Linked DNA regions of Mus musculus. The protein of the gene in region 6 interacts with the protein of the main gene of each other region in a pairwise test. Links are inferred from orthologs where the notes say so. Each region holds a gene or a part of one and is shown on either strand. Other genes may lie near its edges. The genes, in order: Saxo1, Ccdc92, Jup, Dcp1a, Sp2, Fhl2 and Id3.

Evidence for each region.
Region 1: the proteins of Fhl2 (region 6) and Saxo1 interact in binary tests that used the Homo sapiens proteins (3 or more experiments, as listed by UniProt). The two-hybrid records come from large-scale screens. The link is inferred for Mus musculus from reciprocal best matches to the Homo sapiens genes FHL2 and SAXO1.
Region 2: the proteins of Fhl2 (region 6) and Ccdc92 interact in binary tests that used the Homo sapiens proteins (3 or more experiments, as listed by UniProt). The two-hybrid records come from large-scale screens. The link is inferred for Mus musculus from reciprocal best matches to the Homo sapiens genes FHL2 and CCDC92.
Region 3: the proteins of Fhl2 (region 6) and Jup interact in binary tests that used the Homo sapiens proteins (3 or more experiments, as listed by UniProt). The two-hybrid records come from large-scale screens. The link is inferred for Mus musculus from reciprocal best matches to the Homo sapiens genes FHL2 and JUP.
Region 4: the proteins of Fhl2 (region 6) and Dcp1a interact in binary tests that used the Homo sapiens proteins (3 or more experiments, as listed by UniProt). The two-hybrid records come from large-scale screens. The link is inferred for Mus musculus from reciprocal best matches to the Homo sapiens genes FHL2 and DCP1A.
Region 5: the proteins of Fhl2 (region 6) and Sp2 interact in binary tests that used the Homo sapiens proteins (3 or more experiments, as listed by UniProt). The two-hybrid records come from large-scale screens. The link is inferred for Mus musculus from reciprocal best matches to the Homo sapiens genes FHL2 and SP2.
Region 7: the proteins of Fhl2 (region 6) and Id3 interact in binary tests that used the Homo sapiens proteins (3 or more experiments, as listed by UniProt). The link is inferred for Mus musculus from reciprocal best matches to the Homo sapiens genes FHL2 and ID3.

What each region holds. Positions count from the first base shown.
Region 1 is NC_000070.6:86,555,504-86,559,480, forward strand, and holds the start of Saxo1 (stabilizer of axonemal microtubules 1), read right to left. Parts: upstream 2,801-3,977; 5' UTR 2,513-2,800; coding exon 2,472-2,512; intron 1-2,471. UniProt on the Homo sapiens protein: May play a role in the regulation of cilium length. Stabilizes microtubules at low temperature.
Region 2 is NC_000071.6:124,859,422-124,863,703, forward strand, and holds the start of Ccdc92 (coiled-coil domain-containing protein 92), read right to left. Parts: upstream 2,801-4,282; 5' UTR 2,594-2,800; exon of another isoform or gene 2,328-2,593; intron 1-2,327.
Region 3 is NC_000077.6:100,380,791-100,384,290, reverse strand, and holds part of Jup (junction plakoglobin), read left to right. Parts: intron 1-636; coding exon 637-896; intron 897-1,045; coding exon 1,046-1,284; intron 1,285-2,413; coding exon 2,414-2,615; intron 2,616-3,500. UniProt on the Homo sapiens protein: Common junctional plaque protein. The membrane-associated plaques are architectural elements in an important strategic position to influence the arrangement and function of both the cytoskeleton and the cells within the tissue.
Region 4 is NC_000080.6:30,517,565-30,521,064, forward strand, and holds part of Dcp1a (mRNA-decapping enzyme 1A), read left to right. Parts: intron 1-1,354; coding exon 1,355-2,113; intron 2,114-3,500. UniProt on the Homo sapiens protein: Necessary for the degradation of mRNAs, both in normal mRNA turnover and in nonsense-mediated mRNA decay. Removes the 7-methyl guanine cap structure from mRNA molecules, yielding a 5'-phosphorylated mRNA fragment and 7m-GDP.
Region 5 is NC_000077.6:96,974,889-96,978,940, reverse strand, and holds the start of Sp2 (transcription factor Sp2), read left to right. Parts: upstream 1-1,252; 5' UTR 1,253-1,313; coding exon 1,314-1,320; intron 1,321-4,052. UniProt on the Homo sapiens protein: Binds to GC box promoters elements and selectively activates mRNA synthesis from genes that contain functional recognition sites.
Region 6 is NC_000067.6:43,125,962-43,129,461, forward strand, and holds part of Fhl2 (four and a half LIM domains protein 2), read right to left. Parts: intron 2,470-3,500; coding exon 2,283-2,469; intron 1-2,282. UniProt on the Homo sapiens protein: May function as a molecular transmitter linking various signaling pathways to transcriptional regulation. Negatively regulates the transcriptional repressor E4F1 and may function in cell growth.
Region 7 is NC_000070.6:136,142,396-136,145,892, reverse strand, and holds Id3 (DNA-binding protein inhibitor ID-3), read right to left. Parts: upstream 2,072-3,497; 5' UTR 2,015-2,071; coding exon 1,715-2,014; intron 1,600-1,714; coding exon 1,540-1,599; 3' UTR 1,517-1,539; intron 1,014-1,516; 3' UTR 501-1,013; downstream 1-500. UniProt on the Homo sapiens protein: Transcriptional regulator (lacking a basic DNA binding domain) which negatively regulates the basic helix-loop-helix (bHLH) transcription factors by forming heterodimers and inhibiting their DNA binding and transcriptional activity.

The DNA.
Region 1 (3,977 bases), on a different chromosome or scaffold from region 6:
GGCTGCTCTTCCCACTGATGTCCAAAAATAGAGGCCTTCCCCCACTGATGAGTATCATGTACTACAGGTGAGATCATATTTAAGGAGCTAGCCATGGTGACACATGCCTACAATCCTGGCAGCAGCAGGGCTGAAGCAGGAGAATCATGAGTTGAAGGCTAACCTGGACTACATAACAAAACTCAAAAGCCAAAGAAACGCTGGGAATAGTAATATGGGCCTCTAATCCCAGGACTTGGGAAATGGAAACAGAAGAAACAGAAGTTCCCAGTTATACACAGTGTGTCCCAGGCCAGGCTGATCCGGGGTCTTTTGGAAGAGCAGACAATGCTCTTAGCTACTAAAATAGTTCTCCAGCCCTCAAGTGGCTGGAGGAAGTTGGGGAAGCCCTCAATTGTAATTCACTGAAGTAAAATGGCATCATGTGGCAAGCACTGGAGACAGCACCACTCCAGATTGTATGTCCCTAACGGACTCCACAGATCCCACCACCATCCTACAAAGGTGTGTTCTGACTACTCAACAGGTCAGTATCACAAAGCATACAAAAACAGAGCTTGGCTGTTCCAGAGCACACCATCACTAGATATGAAGCTGGCATACACATAGCTAAAAGACCATAGGAAGTGGGGTCCTACCTCTGTACTAGGTGGGGTCTATAGGACTGAGCCAGACGGGAGTCTTATAACATGAGCAAGATCTTAAAAGGTTAGGAGGCAGAAGAAGGTAGACGCATTTTCAAAAAGGGGAAAAAAGCAAGACAAAGGAACCATGAGTGGAGACCAAAAAGTTTGCTTTGAACTCTGAGATGCCCCATCAAAATCACAGGAAAAAAAAAAAAACTAAAATAGACTAAGCAGGCAGGAGGGAAGACTGACCAACATGAGAGTCAGACCCAAGGCACGTGACAGAACCGTAAAGTAGACACAGGAGGGGGAGGCAAGGAAGGCATGCCAGAAAGACTTTATATCCAGTGGAAGGAGCAACTTTGCAGGGTGGGGGAAAAAGAGAATCTGAGGACATCAGATAGGAATGGAGGTGTCATCTGACTCTACGTTCCTCACCCCTGATGAGTCCCCGTCTTCCTAGACTACATACTGTGCAAAGATGGGACTCAAAGACTTCAACCCCACTCTTCTGAGAGCAGAGATGGAGCCAGGAGTGATGCAAAAGGCCCCACAAGGAAGCAAAGTCTTAGAAAAAAAAAACAAACTGAATGTTCGGTAGTATGAAAAATTAGCCCTGGACACTGGCTGGTCCCACCTGACAAACCTCGAAAACAAGAGCCACACTTGTAGGTAGCAGAGCTCAGAATTCTGGGAAATGGCAGTATCTATCTGGAGTCTGCTGATGGGACTGTCCTTAGAGATTGCTCATGAACAGCTGGAGCAATGACACCTATTTTAAAGTTCCCAGTCCACTCTAATGAGCACTGATTCCTGAGAATTCAAAGTCTTCTGTTTTCAGAGTGTCCTCTTAACCTATTCTCCCAAATACAATAATTTTGTTATTTCATGTAACATATGTAGCTGTAAAATCCTTTGCAGATCTTAGGGTATTAACAGAATAGATAGAATCCATGTGCATAGACATACACCCTATCCCTTCACTTGTAATAGTCCTGTGAGGAGAGTATTCCTAGGGAAATTTGAATGGGGAGACGTTCGGTTCCTAGCCCAGATCCCACATTTAGTGACAACCCCAGAGGGCTAGTCCCCGAGGCCACTCCTTTCACTTGGTCTTAGCCAGAAGCCTGGGAAGCAAGTTTATGTACTGCCCCTTCTGCTATCCCCTGGCTGGCACAGCCCTGCAGTTCCCTAGCTGTCCTGGCAAAGCAGCCAGAAGGACCATCTCAGAGACCGCAGCCCAACGTTCCTCTCCAAAACCCTGCCTTCACTGTGCTTTGCACCATCATGGCCCTGAAGACAAGGGGCAGAAAGGCATCCTGCCCAAAAACTACAGCGAACTCGCCCCTGGATTAGCTATTTATTTCAACACTGCAACAGTTGGTGCCCGTGCACTATGGCTCCCAAAGTACCAATTTCTGTAAGTGAGAAACTCACCCACACAAAAGAACTATTGTTCTAACAATTGCAACAGAAGAAACAAGACCGGCCCCAGCCTGTCCAGGGTTTCCATCATGTCTTAACAGCATGTAGACAAGGCTGGGCCCAGCCCACTCTCAAAGTGCCTGAATCTCTACCCTGCAGAAAACACACACGCGCACACACACACACACACACACACACACACACACACACTACCTGATCAGCGCTGATTCGACATGTGTGCATCAAATATTAGTCAACAATGTTGCAGTTTAAAACCCGAATCCAGTGCGATGCTGCCTAGCGAAGCAGCGGGATGAAGAAGACACATCCTGTCTTCGTTCCAGGAAAGGGGCTTGGCACCCTAGGGAGTGTGAAAATCAGGCTCCCCTCCCCAGATTGCCCTTGGGAGGACTACCTTACCCGCAGGAGCACAGGTTGCAGATGCAAGTCCTCTTCCCCATCCTTCACCTCGGACTTTCCACTAAGGCAATCGCCTAGAGGATCCCAGCTGCCTGGGACAACGATCACACTTCTTCGGTGCCTTGACCGATGCTGTTTTGCTCAGAAGGAAACTTAGGTGGCCCTTTTGCAAAATTCTGTAGTCTATTCCTTTCCTGAGGCTGGCCTTGGGCAAACAGGCAGCACTTAGCACAGACAGCAAGCCAGGCCGGCTCACGTCTGTAAGCTGCTGCCACTGCGGCCAGTGGGAAGCACCCACCTGCCAGCACAGCCTGGCCCCTGCAAGCCACAGGGCCCAGGACTGAGTCCTCTATGACCTTCAAAGTCACAGAGGAGGGCATCTTGAGGTGGCAATGACATCATAAGGGCCTCCTGTGAGGTCAGACTTCACCTAGTATCTCACCTGGCAGACCCAAGACAGGGACTCTCCCACTGGAACTTGGAAGGAAGATGGAAGATACCTTGGAGGGCTTTAGGAAGCCTCCGAGTCCCAGAGTTAACCAACAGCACGGTCACATAATGCAAAGACAATGAAAAGTATCTTGTCGGGTGGCACTTTCCATCCCTAGGACACATTGTCCGTCTGGAGGAAATGCATGCCCGGACCTCCAGAATATTGACCCTGAATTCCATCTCCAGATCTTCCTGGAAAATCTATACCTGGCTGCCTGCATCTTGGAATTGCTTTCAACCACAGGCCTCTGCTTTTGAGAACAAAGCAGCATGAGAGGGTCCAGCCCTCTATTGCTCAGGTAATGACGCCTAGAAGCAGGGACGTCTCAAATGTTAGCAGCATCAGAACCTCAAGGCTTGACAAAAATCAGATTGCCAGACCCCACCCTGAGTTTGTTGTTTCTGAAATATGGGTTCCAGAAAACACGTGTCTCTTACAAGTTTTTAATGATGCTACTGATGCTGGCCCAGAGCCCACACTTCAAGGAGCGCAGCTATGGAGCTTCTATTGTGGCCTCTGACCTCTCTTCCCTAATATCTAAGCCGGTCCTGAAAACCACTGCAGACCTCTGCCCTGGAATCTCCTGTATCAAATAACCACCAGTCAGAGCACATGATGGCTTCAGCCTGTGATCCCGGCACAGACTGAGGCAGGAGGGTTGCTGCAAGGTCAAGGCCAGCCTGGGCTACAAAGTGAGACTTCACTCTATTTCAAAGCAGTGAAAACAACTATTCTGGGAATTGTGTTTTCACAAGATAGCAGCTTACTCTGACAATAAAACAAAGTCAAGGGCCTCTGCTCTCGAGCTGGGTGTGGCAGCACAAGTCTAGAATTCCAGCATCTGGGGCAAGGAGGCAAGTTCTGGGCTACATGGCTCTCCCTTTCTCAAAAGCAAGCAAAAGAAGTGCGGTAGCATACCATACAGTCTACTACTATAGGAGAATGTTTGGACTTAAACATTACTGTTTCTTTTTGTTGCTTTTATTTATTTTATTTTATTTTATTTTATTTTA
Region 2 (4,282 bases), on a different chromosome or scaffold from region 6:
GACAGTCCTTTTCGTCCTCTCTTCATTTCACCGTGACCCTACTTTATAGTTTTGTTTTACTTCCTGGATATATATTTAGAAACCATCCAGAAAACACTGAATACAACTACTTTAGGTAGGTATGACTTGACTGTTTTGCTGTGAAACTTGAGTCATATTTGAGTAATGAAATAAATAGAAAGTAGGATGCTGAGCCAGCACAAAAGTCATGTCTTTACCATCTGTAATGTCCTTAGCTCAGGAAAGCACACTTTTACAACCTGCTGACTCCCAGAAAACGGGTACTACCTCATTTTTAGCAAGAATGATTTCCTACTTCCTTCCTAGAAAAGGCAATTATCTTGACTAGATGGTCATTCCAGAAAAGCCAGAGGAAAAAGTATCTAATACATTTCAAACATCACACTGACAGTGGGAGTGATTTATTATCTCGAAGCTCCCCCAAACCAGGCAAAATGGGGTTCAAGTTAGCTCTGACACCAAGCAAATAAGCCAGTTCCTATCTTCCCAGGATTCAAGTAGGTGTCTGGGGATGTCAACATGCCCACAGCTGTAGAAGCTGGCAGCTGCAACACATAACAACAAACTCCCACAGAGCTAGAAGGGAAACTAAGTCCTGGAATCCAGTGGCCACCAGAACCCCAGGAGACCCTCAATCAGACCTGTGCCCTTCCAGCCCTTCTAGTCTTCACTCAAGCTGCCCTGGGAGGGAGCCCGAGGGAAGAGCTGCCCCTTCTTCTCGCTGCTCAAGTTCTGATCGTAATTCTGCTTTACATCACCACCAGGGACGCTGTCTTCCCCTAAGTACTCAGTGTCCTCTTCCTTGCTGGGAATTACTCTAAGGCAATAAAATCCCTCCTGCATGGCAGACCTTCAAATGTCTGAAGACCATTAGGACACAGGTCTTTCTGTCCCTGCCAAATGCGTCTACAGGATGAACCATCAGAGCCTTCCTAGCTGGTCTGGAACTTGCCTCTGTATGTTCAGTACTGCAGGGTGCCTTACCACTGCCCTCAGTGGTATATGAAGTTCAGGAGCTAGTTAATCTTAGTTAATAAATGTGTCACCCAGTATGCATTAGAATCTATTTATGGCTGACCTTGTTTTAGATAAGGAAAAAAGAAAAAAAGCTCTGCATGTCTTCTTGCCAGAAATACGAGAGAATGCTTTATAAGTATTTCTTAAAAGCATCGACATCATAATTAACGTCAGTCCTGCTGCAAACACATCCTGACAATTAGATAACGAGGTTAAAATCGATTTTCCAACATAGGACAGATGAGAGTTAAGAACCCAGAATGAGTGAGCTGCTCTAAACAAAGGATTCATGTGTTTCTTTGAAAAGATTCAACGTTTAAAAAAATGTCTAATTTTCAAAACACCAATTTGAGATGTTTAAGTGTGTTAACAGAAAAATTCTGGCCCATTCAGGTCATTGTTCTATACTTTAAAATATAGCTAAACCAGGGCTGGGGCTAGAGCTCAGTAGAGCCCTACATCCCACATCCTTCCACACTTCAGATCCAAACAGAAAAATCTAACAAAACTGGGTCATTATGCTACAGAGGAGTAATCCAAACTGTTTTAAGGCTTTTCAGTAGTGGTACACATATATACACATACAAAATAAAGAAGCACAAGTCTTAAAGCTTTTCTTCAAAACGGATTAGAATATTCAGCCATTTTGGTGAACAGTTAGCCAAAGGGAAAACATGAAAAACTGGAGGTGAAAGTCACTTGGAACTCTAGCATCTGAAAAGCCTTACAATTCAATGGCGATAGAATGCCAGGGAATTCTTGGCTGTGCAAATAAAATAATACCAATGCTATTTAAATTAATTTCAAACTTAGTCTGTCTGCGATCCTGATTTTAACTAACTTTCTTTCTTCCCTTCCTTCCTTTGACACAGGATCTCACCATGTAGCCTTGGGCTTGTCTGGAATTCTCTATCCTCCAACTCGGAGATCCACCTGCTTCTGTCTCTGGAGAGCTGAAATTTTAAGGCGTGCGCCATCACGCCCGGCTGCTTTTAACACTCCTAAAAGGTGTCTGCAAGCCTGTACTTTGTTATGAAACCGACCGGTGCCACCTGTCACAGAGCACGGTCACATTTTCCTCTCCCGGCTCCCCTCTGTCATCAGTGGCACCTCTCTGTCATCAGTGAACTAGACCGTGCAGCTAAAGATACTTGAGGTTTTGACACTCTTAGCCCGCAGGGCCGGATCCAGCCCGAGGGAACCGCAACCAGGGGTGCTGCCCGCTACCTGCGAGCGTGGCCAGCGTGCGCGTCCGCGGGTCCCGGGAGCTCAGGGCAAAGAGTACTTACGCGGAGCCACCCGGTCGCCAGAGCTGCAGGTCCGGGAGGCGGCAGGTGTGACGCGGGCAGGCGGCTGAGGCCCGCAGCATCCCGCCGGCTTGGGGCCGGACCCCGGGGCGCTGCCCCGCACCCGCAATGCGGCTCGTACCCGGCCCGGGCCGGCGGTTGCAGCCGTTGCGCCGCGCCTCCCCCGCCGCGCCGGTGCGCAGCCTGGCTCCGAGCCCCCCGCGAGCGAAGCTCAAGGATTCTGGACGTGCGCAGGCTGCGCGCCTCACCTGCCAGGGTCCCTCAGGCGGCTGCGGCGCTCGGCCTGCTTCTCGCGGTGGCCCGCGGCCCATGGGCAGGGACGGTGGGAGCCGGGTGCGCGGCGGCCCTGCCGCGGGGGGCACGGAGACTCAAGAGACGCCGCCCGGTCGTCGCATCCCGTCCGCTCCCTCCGAGCGCTCGCCGCGGTGCACGCCGGGAGCCGTTGGCTACCCGACTAGTCCTCGCACAGGAGGATGTCTGAGGAGACGGTGCGGCGCCGACACGGCGGCGGTCTGCTAGTGATGGGAGGGGAGGACCCGGGCGGATCGATGCTCTTTCTGCGGAGGGGAAAGGGGACGACGCGCCACTCCCTGCGGCTGCGGCAGGGCAAAGGCAAAGGCAAGGATGAAGGGAAAGGGAAAAAAAAAAAAAAAAAAGGGATGTTAGTTAGCAACACGCAAGCGCACTGCTCAGGTGCGGCCGCACTGCGGTTGCCCGGGGTAACCAGGGCGGGGTGGGGCGGGGACAAGGAGGAGGGGTGGAGGACCCGGAGCGGGAACGCGCGTGCGTGCGTGTGTGGGCGGGGACTTTGAGACGCCCCGGGACGCATGCGTGCGATGCCCTCCTCCTTCTCCCCGCCCCTCCCATGGGAGGGAATGGGGCTGGCCGGCCTGGCGCGTGCGCACGCGCGCCGTCTTTCCCCTCCCACCACCCCCATCCTCCCGGAGGCGTCTGGGTGTGCGGAGCGCGCGCGCGCGGCTCGGAGACGCACCTGTGAGGTGTCTCCCTCGGAAGGAGAGAGAGAGGGCGGCCCGGGGTGGGCGCGCGCGGAGTCCGAGGCCTGGACGCGCTCCTCGGCCACGCTCGGGAGGGAGTTGGAGCGGCCGACCGGAGTCGGTGCGTTTGAGTCTCTCGGCTTTTCAGGCCGGGGCGTGGGGCCGACTAGCGGGCTGGGGCTGGGGGAGCGGAAGGCGGGCTGGTAGAGTCCCGGGGGGAAGCGGGGGAGTCAGGAAAAGGAAAACAACCCATCCTTCAACCGGGCCTGGGCCGCGGGCATGGCGAGGAGGGAAGGGAAGGTCAGCGCGGTGCCCGCTGCGGCGCAGGGCCCGGGTCGGGCGCGGGATGAGGCAGAAGAGGCCCCGCGGGAGCTGGACTCTCCCGGACCGGGGCCCCATTGTTGTCCGGGGCCGAGGCGGGCGGGAGAGCGGCAGCTCTGGGAGCCGAGGGCCGCGCCCTGGAGCGCATCCAGGCGGGTCCCGAGAGAGCGGTAATGGCCGCGCGAGCGGGCCCCAGGGGCCGGGGGCGGGGGCGGCGGAGGGTCGTAGAGCGGTCCCGCTGCAGGGCTCTTGTGTCGGGTTGTGTCTCCAGCACTGCACGGTCCCCCGGCCGTGGCCGCTCAGCATCCCGCCCAGGTGATGAGGACCTCCCCGCGTCCCCAGCGCGCCAGGCTGCTGCTGTTGCTGCCGCTGCCGCCGGACGCCTCCATTGTCTGACCACCGCCAGGGCTCGGCTTTCACTGGCAGGTAAGCCGGCCAGGGCTGGGCGCAACTCCCCCTGCCGCCTCCGGGCGCACCGGCTTTCCCTGGAGAGGGCGCGGGCCGCCGTCTCCAGCCAGGTTCTCCGCTCTCCTTGAACTCTGCTTCTTTGTGAGACCTTTCTAGCCAAACTCCAGGCAAGTCGGTCTCCCGGATGCGTCTGCCCGATCGGGAGTTTTAGAG
Region 3 (3,500 bases), on a different chromosome or scaffold from region 6:
AAACTTAAAGTAGTTTTAATTTTTTTAAGTGTGTGAGTGTGTGCCGGCATGTATGTTATGTATATATACCAAGTGGGTGCAGTGCTTATGGTGGCAAGAAGAAGGTGCCAGAACCTCCTGGAACTGGAGTTAGATATGGCTGGGAGCCACCACGTAGGTGCTAGGAATGGACCCTGTGTCCTCTGCAGGAGCAGTATGTGCTCTTAATGGCAGAACCATTCCTCCAGCCCCTAATTCTTTTTTTAAAGACTGGAAATATAGCTCAGTGGTAAAGTGCTTGCTGAACAAATATGTGGCCCTACGTTTACTTCCTAGAACTGTACTTCAATAAATACATATTCTGCTGCAGACATTTTTGTAATGATAGGTGTCAGACATGAGTCTTTTAAAATCAAATCATGATCTTGGTTGTCATAGAGTTGGATGAGCTAGGAGGGCCTCATGCTCTCAATGGGATGATACAGACAAGGGCGATGATGGTCCCCTAAGACCCTGGTTAGGTTCAGAATCATGAGTGATGCCCTGTACTTTGGAGAAACATGAGGGAGCTTGGAGCCACACCTTCAAGGCTTGCCTTGCTCTTCAGGGTCCCAGTAAAATCTCCTGTAGCTCAGTCCTATGTCATTTGGCTTTCAGGTGACCTGGAATACCAGATGTCCACAACGGCCAGAGCCAAGCGGGTGCGGGAGGCCATGTGTCCAGGGGTCTCAGGCGAGGACAGTTCTCTACTGCTGGCCACCCAGGTGGAGGGGCAGACAACCAATCTGCAGCGCCTGGCCGAACCATCCCAGTTGCTCAAGTCGGCCATCGTCCATCTCATCAACTACCAGGATGATGCAGAGCTGGCCACCCGGGCTCTGCCTGAGCTCACCAAGCTGCTCAACGATGAGGACCCGGTCTGTGAAGGGCCTGGAGGTGGGGTGGGATGGAGCTGGCTGTCCTCAGAGGGAGGGGTCATCTAAGGATGCCACGGCCTTTGCCTTCCTTCCCTCTGTGGAGGAGGAGCCTGAGGCTATCTGCTCAAGGTCTCACACACTTCCTCCAGGTAGTGGTGACCAAGGCGGCTATGATCGTGAACCAGCTGTCCAAGAAGGAGGCATCCCGCCGGGCTCTAATGGGCTCGCCCCAGCTGGTGGCGGCGGTGGTGCGGACTATGCAGAACACCAGTGACCTGGATACTGCCCGGTGTACCACCAGCATCCTGCACAACCTCTCTCACCACCGAGAGGGCTTGCTCGCCATATTCAAGTCTGGAGGCATCCCTGCCCTAGTCCGAATGCTCAGGTACTTGTTTCTCGGCTGCATGGGAGCCAGGGGCCTCCCAGCATCCCGTTTCCTGGGCTTCCAATACAAGTTGTTACAAAGAATGGTTGAGAGTGTCCAAAGGCAGAGCTTTGACAACTCTGGGGGTGGAGCTTTGACAACTCTGGGGGTGGAGCTTTGACAACTCTGGGGGTGGAGCTTTGACAACTGAGTATACTTGGTCAGAGTAGATGAGGGGCAGGCTATCCTAGCAGGAGAGAACAGCATGGCTGACCCCCCCCCCCCCAGTTGTGCTTCCTCCTCACCCCGTGGCCTGGTACTGATGTAAATGGGAGTTCTTTGAGGGTAGAAGTTGATTTCACTCCCCTCTTATCCTCTCCCACAGCTTCTCCTGTATGACCTTACACACAGTAGTGACTCAGCTGCCCAGGGACCTAGCATGTAATTAGCACCGTGCGGAACCTCAGATGCGAGAGTAGAGAGAAGATGCACTGTGTGCCAATGTCTTTAAGAGTGGGGCTGGCTGGGCATAGTGGGGCTCTCCTTTAATCCCAGCCCTCAAGAGGTCGAGAGACATGCAGATGTCTATGAGTTCCAGGCCAACCTGATCTATACAGAGAGTTCTAGGATAGCCAGGGCTCCATAGTGAGAACCTGTGTCCAAAAAGAAAAAAGAAAGGAAGGGTGGGATTGGGTCTGGGGGTTGGCTCAGTCAATAGAGTGTTTGTTTACCTCTCCAGCACCCACATGAATATGCTAGATGCCATAAAGCGCTTTACTGGCAGTGGGGAAGCAGAAACCAGAAGCATCCCTGGGGCTTGCTGGCTGACCAGTTTAGCCTAATGGGTGCCAGGCCAGTAAGAGAGCCTGTGTCTAAAGAAGGGGACTGTGTTCCTAAGGTACACACCTGAGTTTGTCTTCTGGCCTCCATACACGTTCATTCACATACACACACACACACACACACACACACACACACACACACATGAGCAAAATTTAAAAAGCTTTGTGCTTAAGGAAGGATGAGATTTTGGTAAGGGTATATTTGCATGGGGGGTGTTGATTTAGGGTGAGCTCTCTGGATGTAGCAGGGACTCCTTCCAGACCCACATTCCGGCAACTGGCTCACACAGGTCCTCTCTGTTCCTCAGTTCCCCCGTAGAATCTGTCCTGTTCTACGCCATCACCACACTGCACAACCTGCTGCTCTATCAGGAGGGCGCCAAGATGGCGGTGCGTCTGGCAGACGGGCTGCAGAAGATGGTGCCCCTACTCAACAAGAACAACCCTAAGTTCCTGGCCATCACTACTGACTGCCTGCAGCTCCTGGCCTATGGCAACCAGGAGAGCAAGGTGGGTCCCTCCACCAAAGCCTACAGCAGCATCGTAGTGGCTTCTGGCCACTTCCGGAAAGGCATATTGATGTGTCTACACAGATGAATGTGTGTCTTACCCTAGTTCTGAATTCTTCAGAACTAATGATTTAAGGATGAGAAAAGAATTAGGGATCAGGGTATAACTCAGTGATAGAATAGAATGATGCTGAGTGTCATTGGATTCAGTCCTTAGAGATGAAAAGAGGGAAGGGGTCGGGGGTGGTGGCGCATGCCTTTAATCCCAGCACTTGGGAGGCAGATGCAGGCGGATTTCTGAGTTCGAGGCCAGCCTGGTCTACAAAGTGAGTTCCAGGACAGCCAAGGCTACACAGAGAAACCCTGTCTCGAAAAACCAAAAAAAAAAAAAAAAAAAAAGAGGGAAGGGTGGAAAGATGGCTTGGAGGCCAGAAAAGGGTAATAGATCCCCTAGAACTGAAATTACCGATTGTTATAAGCCACCATATGGGTGCTGGGAATCCAACCTAGGTTCTCTGGAAAAGCCACCAGTGCTCCTAACTCCTGAGCCGTCTCCAGCCCCCTGTGTATTTTAGACAGGTTCTAACTAACCCGGGCTAACCTGGAATCCTACATCTTCTTGTCTCGGTCTCCCAACTGCTGGTGTGCAACACCAGACCTGGCAGAGCTCAAAAGGTCTTTTGATTTTTATTTATTTACTTTTAAGCACGTCTAGACTTACTCCGTGGGTTAGCTCTCTTTCCAAAAGGACTACAGTTCATCACTGTCAGTGGTAGTGGCTGTGACTAGCTTTCCTTTGCTACATCCTTGCCAGCATTTGATATCATCGTCCTCACCCCCCAAACCCCCGAGTTTGTTGGCTTGATAGTCTCAAAAGCATTTACAG
Region 4 (3,500 bases), on a different chromosome or scaffold from region 6:
GGATGAACTACCACATGCACGTTTTAGTTCATTTTTTGTCACAGAATCTCTAGCCGTCTTGTTTCAGCATAAAGAATAGGTTTGGTTTTTGGCTTTTGGTTTTTTTTTAAACTACTGGGCATTCAGTAATCAGGAAGCTGAACCAGAATTGTTGAAGCTTCAAGGCCAGCCTGGCTTCATAGTAGAGCTGTGAAATAATTGTCACAGTTACATTTGTGATTATATTTTTTTATGTTTACAGTTATGTAAATTTTCCAGTTAGTACTTGAGAATAGTGGGATCTGGAGAATGTAAGACTATGAGGGAATGAGCCTTGTGAATTGATAGGATACTATTGTTGTTACTCCTGTAATTTATAAAGGGATTTGGATGTAGACTCACTGTAGGAGGATCTCTCTGAGTTTAAGGCCAATCCAGTCTACATAGTTCCAGGACAGCCCAAGCAGTGTGGAAAGACCTTGTCTCATAATACCAAACACACACACACACACACACACACACACACACACACACACGCGCGCGCGCGCGCGCTCCAGGTTCAGAATCTCACTCTAAATATAAGGCCATAGCAAAAAGGGATAAAAAATATATTCTTTATGCATGTGCATATGCTAGGTAAGAGTTCTACCACTAAACCACTTCCCCAACTTCTTTTTTTTATTATTATTAAAGTTTTATTTACTTAATTTATATGAGTACACTGTCGCTGTCTTCAGACATACCAAAGAGGGCATCAGATTCCATTACAGATGGCTGTGAGCCACCATGTGGTTGCTGGGAATTGAGCTCAGGACCTCTAGAAGAGCAGCCAGTGCTCTTAACTAAGCTGAGCCATCGCTCCAGCTCCCACACACACAAACACACCTCTAAATTCAGTGTAAATGTCTTCCTTTTTCCTCAGGATTCTGTAATTTGAGGGTGTAGGGGAGTCATGACTGAGTACTGAGTGGTTAAAGTTGCCTTAGGTGTTTAGGATCTGCAGTGCAGTGCTAACGTTCTATCAAGAACAATAAAAGTGAGCCACTTAGAGTTTGGTCCTCTCGCACTGGCATCATTTGCCAGTGTGTTACTAATGTGGACACTCGGTGTGGGTAACTTTGTTGTGTATAGCCCCAACCTTAGCCACATTCACCAGGGGAAACAGAGTAAATGCTAAAACTGTTCTCCGTACGGAACTTTGTCACTCTACAGACTTTGCTAGAAGGTGGTCTGAGCCCTGCTGCACCTCAGGTTGCTCCAGGCTGTTTTCATCCGCTGTCCTTGCTTCTCCATATGTGCACATGATGGAAAAGAATCCTAGTTACATTGGTTTCTGCGCCTCTCTTTGATTTTGTCACTTGCTTTTGTTTTTCAGTCTGCTCCGTCTGGTCATAAACATCTGACAGTAGAAGAGTTATTTGGAACCTCCTTGCCAAAGGAACAACCAACAGCTATGGGTCTAGAGTCAGAGGACACAGACAAGCTGCTGGGAGATGCATCACAGAAAGAGCCCAGCTCATTCCTCCCATTTCCCTTTGAGCAGTCAGGGGGAGCCCCTCAGTCTGAAAACCTGGGTATCCATTCTGCCGCTCACCACACAGTTCAGCCTGAAGTCAGCACCCCAGTGCTGATCACTCCCGCCTCCATTGCACAGTCGGGTGACAAACATCCCCCAAGCTACACACTCCCACTGAGCCCTGTCCTCAGCCCCACTCTGCCAGCTGAAGCTCCTACCACACAAGTTCCCCACTTACCTCGGAATAGCACCATGATACAAGCAGTAAAGACCACACCCAGGCAGAAATCTCCACTCCTGAACCAGCCAGTCCCTGAGCTAAGCCACAGCAGTCTGGTTGCTAGCCAGAGCCCCTTCAGAGCCCCGGTGAGCCTAGCAAACCCAGCTGGCACAGCCCTCCCAAGCGTTGATCTGCTTCAGAAACTCAGGTTGACCCCACAGCATGACCAAATACAAGCACAGCCGCTTGGAAAAGGAACCATGGCGCCCAGCTTTTCTTCGGCAGCTGGCCAACTGGCCACCCCTGAGAGCTTCATAGAGCCTTCTTCTAAGACAGCAGCAGCAAGAGCAGCAGTCTCAGCCTCCCTGAGCAACATGGTGCTTGCTCCAACCCTCCAGGTAAGACAGGAGCAGGAGGGCATAGAGAAACAAGACTACAGAGGCCTCAGCTTTAAGTGACATGAGACTTTGTGTGTGTGTGTGTGTGTGTGTGTGTGTGTGTGTGTGTGTGTGTGTGTGTGTGTGTGTATTTTGTGCAGCAGCCATACCCAACTAAAGATGATGTGTGTGTCTGTCTTGTCTGTCTATCTGTCTGTCTCCATGGTCTATAACTAAATTTGCTCTGTGGGGTGAGGGGGCCCTGTCTGTCTATCTGTGGTCTGTAACTGATCTTGGCATGTAGACTTGTACGCAGGTGTATATGCATGCGTGGGTTTCCAGGTTCTGTAGTAACTCAGATTTGCTGTGTAAACAGACCTGGAGGAATTTGCATTGGAAGGTGACTACATTGTAGTTAAGGAGTGTGAGTTATATTTCAGACCTTAGGAAGGCATTGAAAGGTTCTGAACGAAGAGTGACTTGTTGGTAATGTCAGAAACAGGAATCTGGCCACCTGTTCCAGGACAAGCTGTCAATCACTTTGCCTGAGCAGTAGGGGCCTGGGTTGAGCACTGTGGACAAGGAGATTTTTAAAGTATCCGGTCAGGGAGGCTTCGTGGTCGATTGGTAGAGAGGGTAAAGGAGAGGTTTGCCCTTCAATAGCAAGTTTACCAGGGAGAAAACGAGCAGAGTGTGATGATCACATGGCCACAGCTGGAAGGGAGTGGGGTGTGCTGCTCTGTGACTGCTGCCTGCCTGTCAGTATTTGGGTCTGACACAAGAAGGAAGGAATGATGTGCGCGCGGGCAGGGCCTGTGCTGTGTGTAGGTGTCACGGGCCAGGAGTGCTCTCGCTCCTCTTCCTTTGCTCTGATGGACTGACTGCAGGAAGAAACATATGAAGGGAGTTTGTTTGGGTTTCTGGTTGTGAGGGAAAGGGTTGCCCCACCTCTCAGTTGATCTGGAAGCTCAGGTAATGATCTGCACCTGCCTTCTCCATACTCAGCACTAGAAGACAGTGACGCTCCTGCATGCTGCTTGGCAGAAACCACTTACATATGTGTAAATACTCATTTACATGGCAATAGCTAATTTTAAGATCTTCTTGCCTGATATAGTGGCAAATGCCTTTAGTCTCAGTAGGCAATCTGTGATTTCAAGTCTAGCCTGGTCTACATAGCAAGCTCCAGGCTAGCCAGGACTATCCTTTCTCAAAACAAAAAAACCCTGGTCTGCATGGAGTTGTCTTGTGTTTACTGGGCAGCATTAATTCTTTCCCAAAGACCATGAGCATTCACACCTATAAAAACATAGTGAAGAAAGCTGAGGCAGAGGGGTCTCAAGTTAGAGACCAGCCTGAACAACCCAGGTCTCAAAACCAAACAACAAAAGGACCTTCTCTGTCTCTT
Region 5 (4,052 bases), on a different chromosome or scaffold from region 6:
CTTGATCCTCAGCAAATAAGACCCCAGCAGGGATGTATGTGTCTCATCTACCTGCGATCAATGTCTCTCAAATGTTGATTTGGGAAGCTTTGTTACATGTTCTTATAAGTTAATTTACTGGATGTAAAACATTTTTTTCTCACTGTGGGTTAAAACAACAAAACAAAACCAACCAGGAAGGGTGGTACTATGAGGTGGATGTGTGAGTGCTCTGGCTTCAACAAGAGTCTAAGGGTCCACTGCAGATGGGGTGTGGGGTTTCCTACCCACGCAGGTCTCAAGCCAGCGTGAATTCCCTCTGAGTGCTACGTACAGCTTGCCTAAGTTAGTCGTTCGCAGAGGGCCTGGAAGAGAAAGCTAAACCTACCTGTGGTGCCTGTCAAGCACGGCCCCTCATACAGGAGGAGATGAAGCAGAGACCAAGCAGGGTCGCTAGGATGCCAGCGTGCAATTCTGCCCACCTGAGGCGCAGGCTAAAATGCAGATTCTAGGCACACACACCCCGCCCCCCGGGAAATAGCAAATGTAACTAGGGACGACCCTAGGGATCTGCTTTTGATAAAGGCTCAAACACGCCTGTCTGAAGCTGAGAGGATCAGGGAAGCTCTGCGAAACATTGGTGAAGATTAACAGGGGCTTGAGATGACATAATGACAATTCCCTCTAGGAAGTGCCAGGTAACCCAACTCCTGCCAGGTCGTCGACTCTCGAGAGGCGATGGATGGCGGGCGAGGGCCTGAGGTGAAGGCGATGCGCTCACTGGGGGCCGGGCACCGCGTATCCGACAGCTACACTTGAGACTCACCATGCCAGACTGTATTGAGAGATGTATAAGCTCTTTACGGGGCATTTCACAGTAGCACTTCTGATTGGCTTTAGGGCAGATCTATCACTTATCTGCTGGGTTAGAGGTGGGTGGAAGGTCAATTACGACCAATACAAAAACACTTCTCGGCTAAGCCCCTCCTCACCCAGCTTCCTGTTGCTGTCCATCAACCTCCTAGCAGGCGGGACTTTGCCTCCCGCCAGTTGGCTAAAGGATACGTCGTTCATTCCCCCGTTGATTTCCGGTTGGCGACTCCTACCGTCTATCAATGACACTTCACAGTTCTATTGGCCAGACCAACGTCACTCTAGATGCTTCCCAATGATTGGTTGAAAATGCTGTCGGTCCCCAATGTACCAAGCGTTCATTGGTAAAAGCTGCCGTCGCTCGGGCGGTGGCGGGCTCCGGGATTGGCGGGTGCTAGGCGGGCGGTGTCAGGCTCTCGGTGGCGGCGGAGGCGGCGGAGGCCAGGGAGGAAGATGTCGTAATGAGCGGTGGGTCCTGGCGTCTGCCGGCGGCGTCTTCCCGGCCCTCAAGGGTCGGGAAGACGGACAGAGGCCTCGGGGAGGGGAGGCCGGAACCGGGGGTGCCCCCCTGGGACTGGGACTGGCGCCGGGGCCCGGCTACGGGAGGGGCGGGGGAGGAAGGATTCCCGCCCGGAGGAGGAGCGCGGCTGGCCGGCCGGGCGGAGGCACCCGGAAGGGGGCGTTAGACTCCCCGCCCCTCGGAGCCCCGGGCGGGAGGGCGGCGCTTCCGGGGCTGGCAGGCGGCGGGGGCAGCAGGGCGAGCCTGATAACCCCCTTCGCCCCCTCAGCTTGGGTCGCGCCGGGCCTTCAGCCTGCGCCCGAGTTTGCTCCACGCAGGCGGCCGACGCCCCCTCGGGCTCGTCCTGTGGGCAGCCCAGGCTTGGGACCCAGGTGGTGCCAGTCAGATGGGCCCTGCTGGTCTGAACTGCAGCCTGCTGGCCGGGCCACCGCAGTCCCAGAGGGTGGCAGGATTGGAGGGAACGCCCTAGGCAGATGACTGCTGAACGAAAAACCGACTTTTAATGTTTATACCTGGATCCTTGAGCCTGCGGCTAGTATCTGCAAGCTCTTGGAATTTTAGAAGTTTGGAGAACTTGTGGACAGAGCTCCCAGGCTATGGCCCGATGCCCCTTGCGGGGGGTGGGGGGGTTGGGCAAAAATGCACTGGAATTCCAAAAAAGCGTAGGCGCTATCGCTCGTAACAGATGACCTAAGAAATAAAATAGATGCTTTTCTTCATCCGCGTTGCTGGCTTAAGGGTGCTCAGAATCTTCCCTTCCTTCTTAGGTTTCTTTCCCAGTGCCTTATTCTAGTTTTAGTAGAAAAGGAACTGTCTTTTGCGCTGGGCGACTGAGAAACCTGTCCTCTCTACATTCCTTGGTTTTGATTCTAATAGCCTGTCATGTTTAATCGTTTCATAACTAACATGATCCAGGGGGACTCTGTTTGGTTTTTTCTCCTGAACTTTCCCCATTTTTAGGAGGTTACAGGATTATTACATATCAAAATAAAAGTTTGGGCCTGTAGAGGCCTGTCAACGAGGAGAGAGGCAGACCATAGCCAGTGGTCTGTGAGCCAGGAATTGGCCCAAGGGTCCCCTTTATACAGATTTCATTGTAGAAAGGCGATTAACTTTTCAGTGTGTACTGGCAGGAACAGGCTACAGCTGTTCCATGCTGTGCCCTAGAAGGCCCTTGGCATTACAGAGGACAAAACCCTGAGTTGAGACACCCCCCCCCCACCCCCCTGTGGTGATGAAGGTTGAATCCACAAATGTTGGACAAGCACCTCTACGGCTGAGCTGTCTTGGAGGGCTAGAAAGGTTAGGGTGAGCCAGCTCACAGTGAACTGGCACAGGGGATGACAAGAGCCCAGACCACACAGTAGCATTTTCCATTATTGACACAAAGAAGTCCATTGTCTGTAGCGATGAGTATAACTGCAGTGTCTTGTTTTCTTTTAAATTCTTAAGGACAATGAACAGCGCGGATCTCAGAACCTCCCAATAGGGCTTATGTCAGTGTTGCAGTGGTTTCTTATTTAGGTGGTAGGGTGTTGGAGCCTGGTCTTGCTGTGAAGCCCTGGCTGGCGTGTGTTTGTCCTGTGATCTGTGTAGGCCTTGAACTTGAGATCTCTATGCTCCAGCCTCAGCCTCCCAAGTGCCGAGGTTATGGGTGTGTACCAATTTGCTTGGTTTCTAGTGACCAGGCAGACGTCAATCAATACCAGTGACCATGAGTTATCTTTGGCTGAAGTGACGGATGAGCTGTCTAGTTCCAGTCCTCCTACTTGCCTCTTTGAGTAAAATCAACAGCCATTGGGAAAAATAAGCTGCTCTGACACCATTGTGAGCTCCGCAAGCTAGGCTGCTAAAGACACAGGCTCTTTGCCAAAGAAAACTAACTAGGATTTGTCCATAACCGGATCTTCCCCTGGGCACCCAGCTGCTCTGAGGGGAAGAGTTTGACATCCCTGCTGATACTACATAGATGACCTCTACTTAGATTTGATTTAAACATTGGGCCAGGATCACTGAGAAGGCCCAGTGGGTAAAGACACTTGTTGCCAAGTCTGATTACCTGAGGCCTTGTGTCTCACCTGGAAGGAAAGAAACAACTTCAATACTTTTGTACACAAAGACACATACACACAGGGAGGGAGGGAGCACAAAACCAATACATGAATTAGAAGATATCAAAAAATGTGGGCCTGTGGAGGCCTGTCAAAGGGAAGAGAAGCAGTAAAAAAGATTACACGGCAGATGTTTGGGTAAAAAGCCCATCCATGCCGGGCGTGGTGGCGCACGCCTTTAATCCCAGGAGGCAGAGGCAGGTGGATTTCTGAGTTGGAGGCCAGCTTGGTCTATAAAATGAGTTCCAGGACAGCCAGGGCTACAGAGAAACCCTGTCTCGAAAAACCAAAAAAAAAAAAAAAGCCTATCCATTCCAGCAGGTAGAGAAGTTAGTATTTTGGTCTTGACTATCTTAGTTCTTCTAAGTGGTTAAGTGTTTTGGAGAAGTTATAATCCCTTGTAGCAAGCAGTGTCAAGTCTGACCGTTGACGCATATGTGGCAATCCCCAAGCTTTCTTTAAGCAAGTGTTGCCCAACCATGGCCCTTAGAACGACTTTTAAAGTTTCTTGCAGCCAGCTAGTAGACTCTAGCAGTTTTCTAGACCCTGAGCACTCCACTGCTGTAAAA
Region 6 (3,500 bases):
AAAATCTTCTATTATGTTTCAAATGACCAAAGATGTTACTCTATGCATGCCTCTCTCTGAATATTAGACATTTTAATTTAATTTAAAATCACTGACATTAAAACTGGTCAACACCTTCTCTAACGTGTTTCCTCTGTTAAGACACATTGCCTTCTTATACTCAAGGGCACTACATGGAAATGCCCTGCCCCCCCAGTCACAAAAAATGTAAAAGACAAAAACAATCCCCACATCATTGTGGGACACATTATTTAAGCAGGGAGCTAGAGGCCAGGCAGTGGTGGTGCATGCCTTTAATCCCAGCACTGAGGAGGCAGAAGGAAGGGTATCTCTGTGAGTTCGAGACCAGCCTGGACTACAGAGTGAGTCCCAGCACAGCTAGGGCTACAAAGGAAGAAGGGAGCTAGAACACAGGGGCAGAGCTTCATCTATCCAGTGTCAGCCAGAGCATAGATGCGTGGGAACTCAAACCCACTGCTGCTTTGTGCACATCTGTGGGTCACTACCAGCAACCTGGGTATTGATTTAAAGTTGCATACCTATATGGATCGATACTGTGGTCAATTATGGATGAGAAGTAAGCATCACTGCACATAGAAAATTTTAAATTAGTGTTTTCCAATTATTCGTAAAAGCAGTATAAATTGTGTTGAAGAGAAAAAGTACTAAGGATCTATTAGAAACCTCATCGAAGCTCGGTATGTATAAGTGTTTGGAAATACAGCTAAGAGTACATTCTAGTTTGCAGTTTCAAAGTTCTTCTATATGTTCTTGAAAATCAATCATTGCTTTTCAGAGCATTAATTCTGCTGTTTTAAAGGAAGAATTCTGGTTCTTCTAACCTTTTCCCCAAATTCTATAACTGCAGCAGACATCCATGTCTAATATAAAGTACTTCACATTCATACTACGTTTCCATAAATTATAAAGTGTTGGAGACATTTCCTTAGCAGAAGCTAGGAAAACAGCTTCAAAGATGGGCAGGCCACTGAAAATGTCCCATTGTCCTCCCAAACTAATTTCAAAGGAAATACAGTATCTAAGTCGCTAGAATCAGATGTCTCAACAAAATTTATCTATTTTGTATATTTTAATTTTACATGCAAATAAAGCATGAACCAAGGCCTGCCAGCTGGGAAGTCCCATAGGAACAAGACAACTTGGTTCTAGGCAAGGTACACAATGGTCTGCAAGCGTGTCTGTATAAAGAAAGACCCTACCTACAAAGCTATAGGGGAAAGTCTGTGTCTCTCTGCTTCCTGCCACATATGTCTACTGACAGTGCATCAGGGATGATGCAATGTGGGCTGGTTAGCTTTTTGTCAACTCTATACAACCTAGAATTGTCTGGGAAGAGGGAACCTCTTCCAGTAGCCAAGTAGTCTGTCAGGCATTTTCTTGATTAATGATTGACATGGGAGGGGCAAGCCCAATGTGGAGAGTGTGACCCCAGACAGTGGTCCTGGGCTATACAAACAAGCATGTTGAGCAAGACATGAAGAGCAAGCCAGTAAGCAGCACTCCTCTATGGCTCTGCTTGGATTCCTGCCTCCAGGTTCCTGCCCCTTTTGTCTTCATGATGGAGTATAAACAGTAAGACAAAAGAAATCCTTTCCTTCACATGTTGCTTTTAATCATGGTGTTTATCAGAGCAACGAAGAACAAACAAAAACAGGTAGACTGAATGAATGGGATTGGAAAGACCACTTCAAGAAACACTCCTATATATGACAGAATACTTGCACTCTCACCCCCTGCCACTGATTGGTACATGGTGAAAAATCAAAGGGCTTTAGTCTGGAGCCAGTAGTCTTTACCTTCAATATCTTCACCATACTCAATAGCTCAGCCCAAATACTAGTCTGTCAACCAGGCACATTTTGGGCTCTCACTTTGTCTAACTCTTTGGGGACTGTGCTACTCAGAATGTGTCCCCACCTAGCTGTGGTTTGTGGTTAGAAGAGTCTCGTTAAGATGACATGAATACTTCAAATACCAGGTCTGCTGTTGGGGCTGAAATGCACCATTCATTTTGTTCATGTGACTATAATAGACTCAGACCCAAGCAGAAACACTCAATGACATGCCAATGGTTCTGCATCACCAGGCTTAAGGGGAAGCCACCAGCTGTGTTCTGAGGATACACAGCAGAGGCAAAAATGCTTGTTGGGCTCAGAGCCTCAAGATATTAACAACACTCTTATGCTAACACTCTAGACGTCCATGTTGTTCCAGGAAGCAGACAGTCTCTACCCTGGCAATGGCCTTCCCAGGACACTTACCACTAATGGGGTTGGTGCACCCAGCACATTTCTTAGCGTACAAGTCACAGAAGCAGGTCAGGCAGTATGGAAACTCATCCCGTGCTGTGAAGCGTTGCCCAGATAGCTGCTTCTTGCAGGCTGTGCACACAAAGCATTCCTTGTGCCAGGGCTGCTCCCGGTAAGTAACACCTCCTGTGGTGATAGGCTGGGGGAGACAAGTGTATGAGTCAGGGCTACCCCTGTTTCTGGTAAACATCTGTCACTGCTGTTGCCCATGAATGATGTAAGACACGAGCCCCACCCACAACAAATATGCAGTTTGTTAAAGTCGACATGGAGGGACCTGTGGCTCCAGCCACATATGTAGCAAAGGATGGCCTTGTCAGTCATCAGTGGGAGGAGAGGCCCTTGGTCCTGTGAGGGCTCTATGCTCCAGTGTAGGGGGATGGCAGGACCAGGAAGCGGGAGTGGGAGGGTTGGTGAGTGGGGGAGGGGATAGGGGGTTTTCGGAGTGGAAACCAGGAAAAGGGATAACATTTGAAATGTAAATAAAGAAATTATCTAATAAAAAGAAGAGAAGAGGAGAGGAGAGGAGAGGAGAGGAGAGGAGAGGAGAGGAGAGGAGAGGAGAGGAGAGAAGAGAAGAGAAGAGAAGAGAAGAGAAGAGAAGAGAAGAGAAGAGAAGAGAAGAGAAGAGAAGAGAAGAGAAGAGAAGAGAAGAGAAGAGAAGAGAAGAGAAGAGAAAAGAGAAAAGAAAAGGAACTTCATACCCCAGGCACCTCATGTTATCATCCATACCATTGCTACGGTTCCTGGCTTTCTCCCTAGTGATGTGGGGTCTTTAGGTTTCACAGTAGTGCAGGGGAACAGAAGGAATGAGTGCCATGGGGCATTGTCACCATCCCAGATAGGAAGGTAGCACAGTGGTCAGAGATAACATTGAAGGCATCGACTGCTACTTCTGAGCAGCCCTGAGATCCTGTAGCTAGAGACCTCAGTACCTCAGTTCTGTCTACAAAGTCGGAGTGATGAAGAGAAAAGGATGAATCTCTGTGGAAGCCTTCCTTCAAATCCCAGCAACTGATGGCCTCTCCAGCTCTACTCTCATGCTCAGCCTGTACAGTAACTAGAGAGGCAGAAAGGCAGAGGCTTTCTGGAACCTGCATCTGCTGGCGTGGGACCCTGAAGGCCTTTATCCTCGCCCTATCTTAAGTCATAGGAGGTTTCTGAAGAAGC
Region 7 (3,497 bases), on a different chromosome or scaffold from region 6:
ACTCAAGAGATTGTGTGCCTCTGCCTCATGAGTGCTGGGATTAAAGTACAAATCACTATACCCCCCACCTCACCCGCAGGGTTCCTTTCTCCAAGTTTGGAAGTCTGGGGGGAAGGCAGACCAGAAAGCATGAAGTTAATGGAGGCAGTTTATTTAAATACGAAATAGTTCATCCCCACACTTGACCCCGAGCCGCCAGGAAGGTTCGCCCAATCATTTGCGGCATCCATCTAAGAGCTGCTGCCAAGTTTCAAGGAATTGAAGAAATAAAAAGATTCGGTCTCAGACTTGCCGGCTGTAGGAGAGGCTCCTGTAATTGAGAGTAGGATCATAGATCCTTGCTTTCAACCTCCAATGTTTTTGGGGATTCCCAACCCCAGCCCTTCCTACTAACCAAGCCACCCTAGCCCTCAGCTTCAGCTGGGAACTTTCTCGTCCCTAAAAGGGTATGCAAATCTGCCCGCCCCAAGCTCCTAGGAGGTGGCGCAAGATGTCATACACAAAGTGTTCAAAAATGGTTTATTATGCAAAATGTTAACTTTTATAAAAAGTTTAATATACATCACATGATTACAGAAAGTCACCTTCCTGTAAAAAAGGTACAAAAGCTATATACTCTATTATAGAGTTCATAATCAGGGCAGCAGAGCTTTTCTCCAAGGAAACCAGAAGAACAGCTCTTATGCTGCCTTGGCAGAGTGCGCAGGGCAGCCACTCGCATCCCCCCACACCCTCTCGACACCCCATTCTCGGAAAAGCCAGTCTTTTAGACTTGAGTCAGGGTGGGGACAGAGTGACGTTGCCCAGCTGCTGACCAGCGTGTGCTAGCTCTTCAGGCCACCCAAGTTCAGTCCTTCTCTCGGGCTCCAGGTCCAGCCTCGAGGCGTTGAGTTCAGGGTAAGTGAAGAGGGCTGGGTTAAGATCGAAGCTCATCCATGCCCTCAGGCTTCCGGCTGGAGAGAGGGTCCCAGAGTCCCAGGGTCCCAAGCGGAACGGGCGCCAGCACCTGCGTTCTGGGCGGGGGAGGAGAGAAGAGCGAGGGAGCCGTCAGTTTCCGCCGAGCGCGCCCAGGCGGAGGATGCCGCAGACTGGCCGGCGCCAGGGAGGAAACTCGGTCTCTACCTCCAGCTGATAACTCCGCTCCCCACACTGCCTCCACCCAGTTGGCGCCAAAGGACCACAGGCGGAGTCACCACTCCCCCTCCCGCTTAGAAATAACACTAGTGGAAAGGGGGGAGGGCTTCCTTTACTCCAAGGCTCATTTGGTGCGACCCGCGCGCCCACTTGCCCTGGGCTCTGGCCACCCGGGATGAGAAGGGACAGCGTGTCTAAGGAATGCACGTGATATTGACATAGGTTCTGTCGTTTATTCTAACTGATTATAGATAAGGCTTTTGCCTTTCAGTGGCTTGGCTTTTTCCCTAAACCGACTGAACCCTAAGCCTTACAATGTTCTGTCAAAGGCAGGATTTCCCATGCAAGCCTCCCTCCTCGCCCGCGCCAGGAGAAAGCTTACCGGGAGGTGCCAGGACGACCGGGTCAGTGGCAAAAGCTCCTCTTGTCCTTGGAGATCACAAGTTCCGGAGTGAGCTCAGCTGTCTGTGAAAGAAGGTTAGGAGACGAGTTAGCCAAGGGACTCGGGGACGCGATAGGGAAGACCCGCAGCATCCCTGCCCGCACGCTCAGAGCAGCCTGGTCTGGCTCCCTCTCGCACCTGGATCGGGAGATGCGGACCGTCCGGGGGTCCAGGCGCCGGCTCTGCCAGGACCACCTGAAGGTCGAGGATGTAGTCTATGACACGCTGCAGGATTTCCACCTGGCTAAGCTGAGTGCCTCGCGGGACTCCCGGCACCAGTTCCCGCAGGCGCGAGTAGCAGTGGTTCATGTCGTCCAAGAGGCTAAGAGGCTCCTCGGTCGACGGGCTCTTACCGCGGCCTCGCGCAATGGCCAGGCTACGTTCCGACAGGCAGCACACCGCCTCGTAGCAGCCGCGCACCGGGCTCAGCGCCTTCATGTTGGAGAGTAGAGATAGAGAGGGAGGAAAAGAGACACCTAAAGCAGCAAACAGTGCGCGCACGCCTGCAGCGGCCGACTCTTATAGAGTCCTCTCTAGGACACACCCCCTTATTCAAAACAGACCGCCAAGGGTCCACCCCCGCCCGCCCTGGGCACCGCCTCCCCGGTCCTGGGCGTTCACAGTGGGTTTAAATTGCTAACAGGCTTCCTTAGGCTGGTCTGACGCCGAGGACAGCGGAGCCTCGGATGCGAGGAATGAGGAAGCGCTGATACCGAGGAGAGGCGGGGCTCTTGAGCCAGCACAGATTTGAAAAAAAAAAAAAAATCACTTAAAACCATTAACTTTTAAGAATATGCCTTTTCTGGAGGCGCCCAAGTTCTCTGAGGTCCCCTCCCCCCAATACTGGTTCGAACCCACAGCTCTGAGGTCATAAATCCCTTGAACAACTAAAGATCTCTCTCTCCTCTCTCTCTCAAGAATTTTCAAGGGAAACTTGTAAGGAATTAGTGCCGCCTTGTTCCCCAATTTGCTGCTCGTCTGACCTCCAGACTCACTGGCGTCAGGAATTATCTTGTGACCAGAGGGGGAAAAAATTAATTGCGGTGAAGCTGAGGTTACAATGAAGAAAACAGATTTGGGCTAGGCGCTGAGATTGCAGAAGAAGGAGGGAAAGGGAGGTCTAAGCAGAGAACACTATTTATTTGAGCACCAGGGGAAAGAGGATAAGAGCAGTCTGGACCCAGTCCTTTTCCACGGAGAAAGAAAAAGCATGGACCGTTTCCACCGAGAACTCCTTTAGGAACTAAATGTATGCCCGGTTGTGCTTTGGAAGTGAATTTGATTAGGATTTTGGACAAGGTTTCAAATATGGGGGTGCTTGCTGCATAAACCCTTTTAGAAGGTCCCCTCCACGGGCATACATAGAACCAAATGGGTCAGCTGTCTAGCGTTTGCTTCCTCGTTCTGCACAGCCTCCCTCCCTTTGCACACTTTGCACACTCTGTAGAAAACAATAACAATTTCATCGCCGCGTTGTCTGTCCCTTTCTGTTGTGGAAGGGCAGCCACCTGGACATGATTATTCCTCGTCCTGCTGAAGTAGCCCCAGCCACCCATCTGAGAGAGCAGGAGAGCAGCCAGCAGGCAGGCAATCCCATATTGCAAAAGGACAGTGCACTCTATTCTTTGCCTGGCTCTGCTTCCCAGACCCCGAAGCCTCAGCAGTTCCAAAATTCTGGTTTCCATCTTGGGAGAGAACAGGTGGGGTTTTGCAGCCACGAGATTGCTTTCTTAATCAATCAGCCTGGTAAATATTTATGGAGTTGCTTCACATGAAACAGAGGCTCCTGCTCTCAAGAATCTCACAATGTCTGGGGACAAGATTAACACAGGAAACAATTAAGTGTTCAGTAGTGTGTGGCACTGATCAACAGGACAATGGGACCTCTGAGCTGGGACAGTTCCAATAATTGGAAGGACAT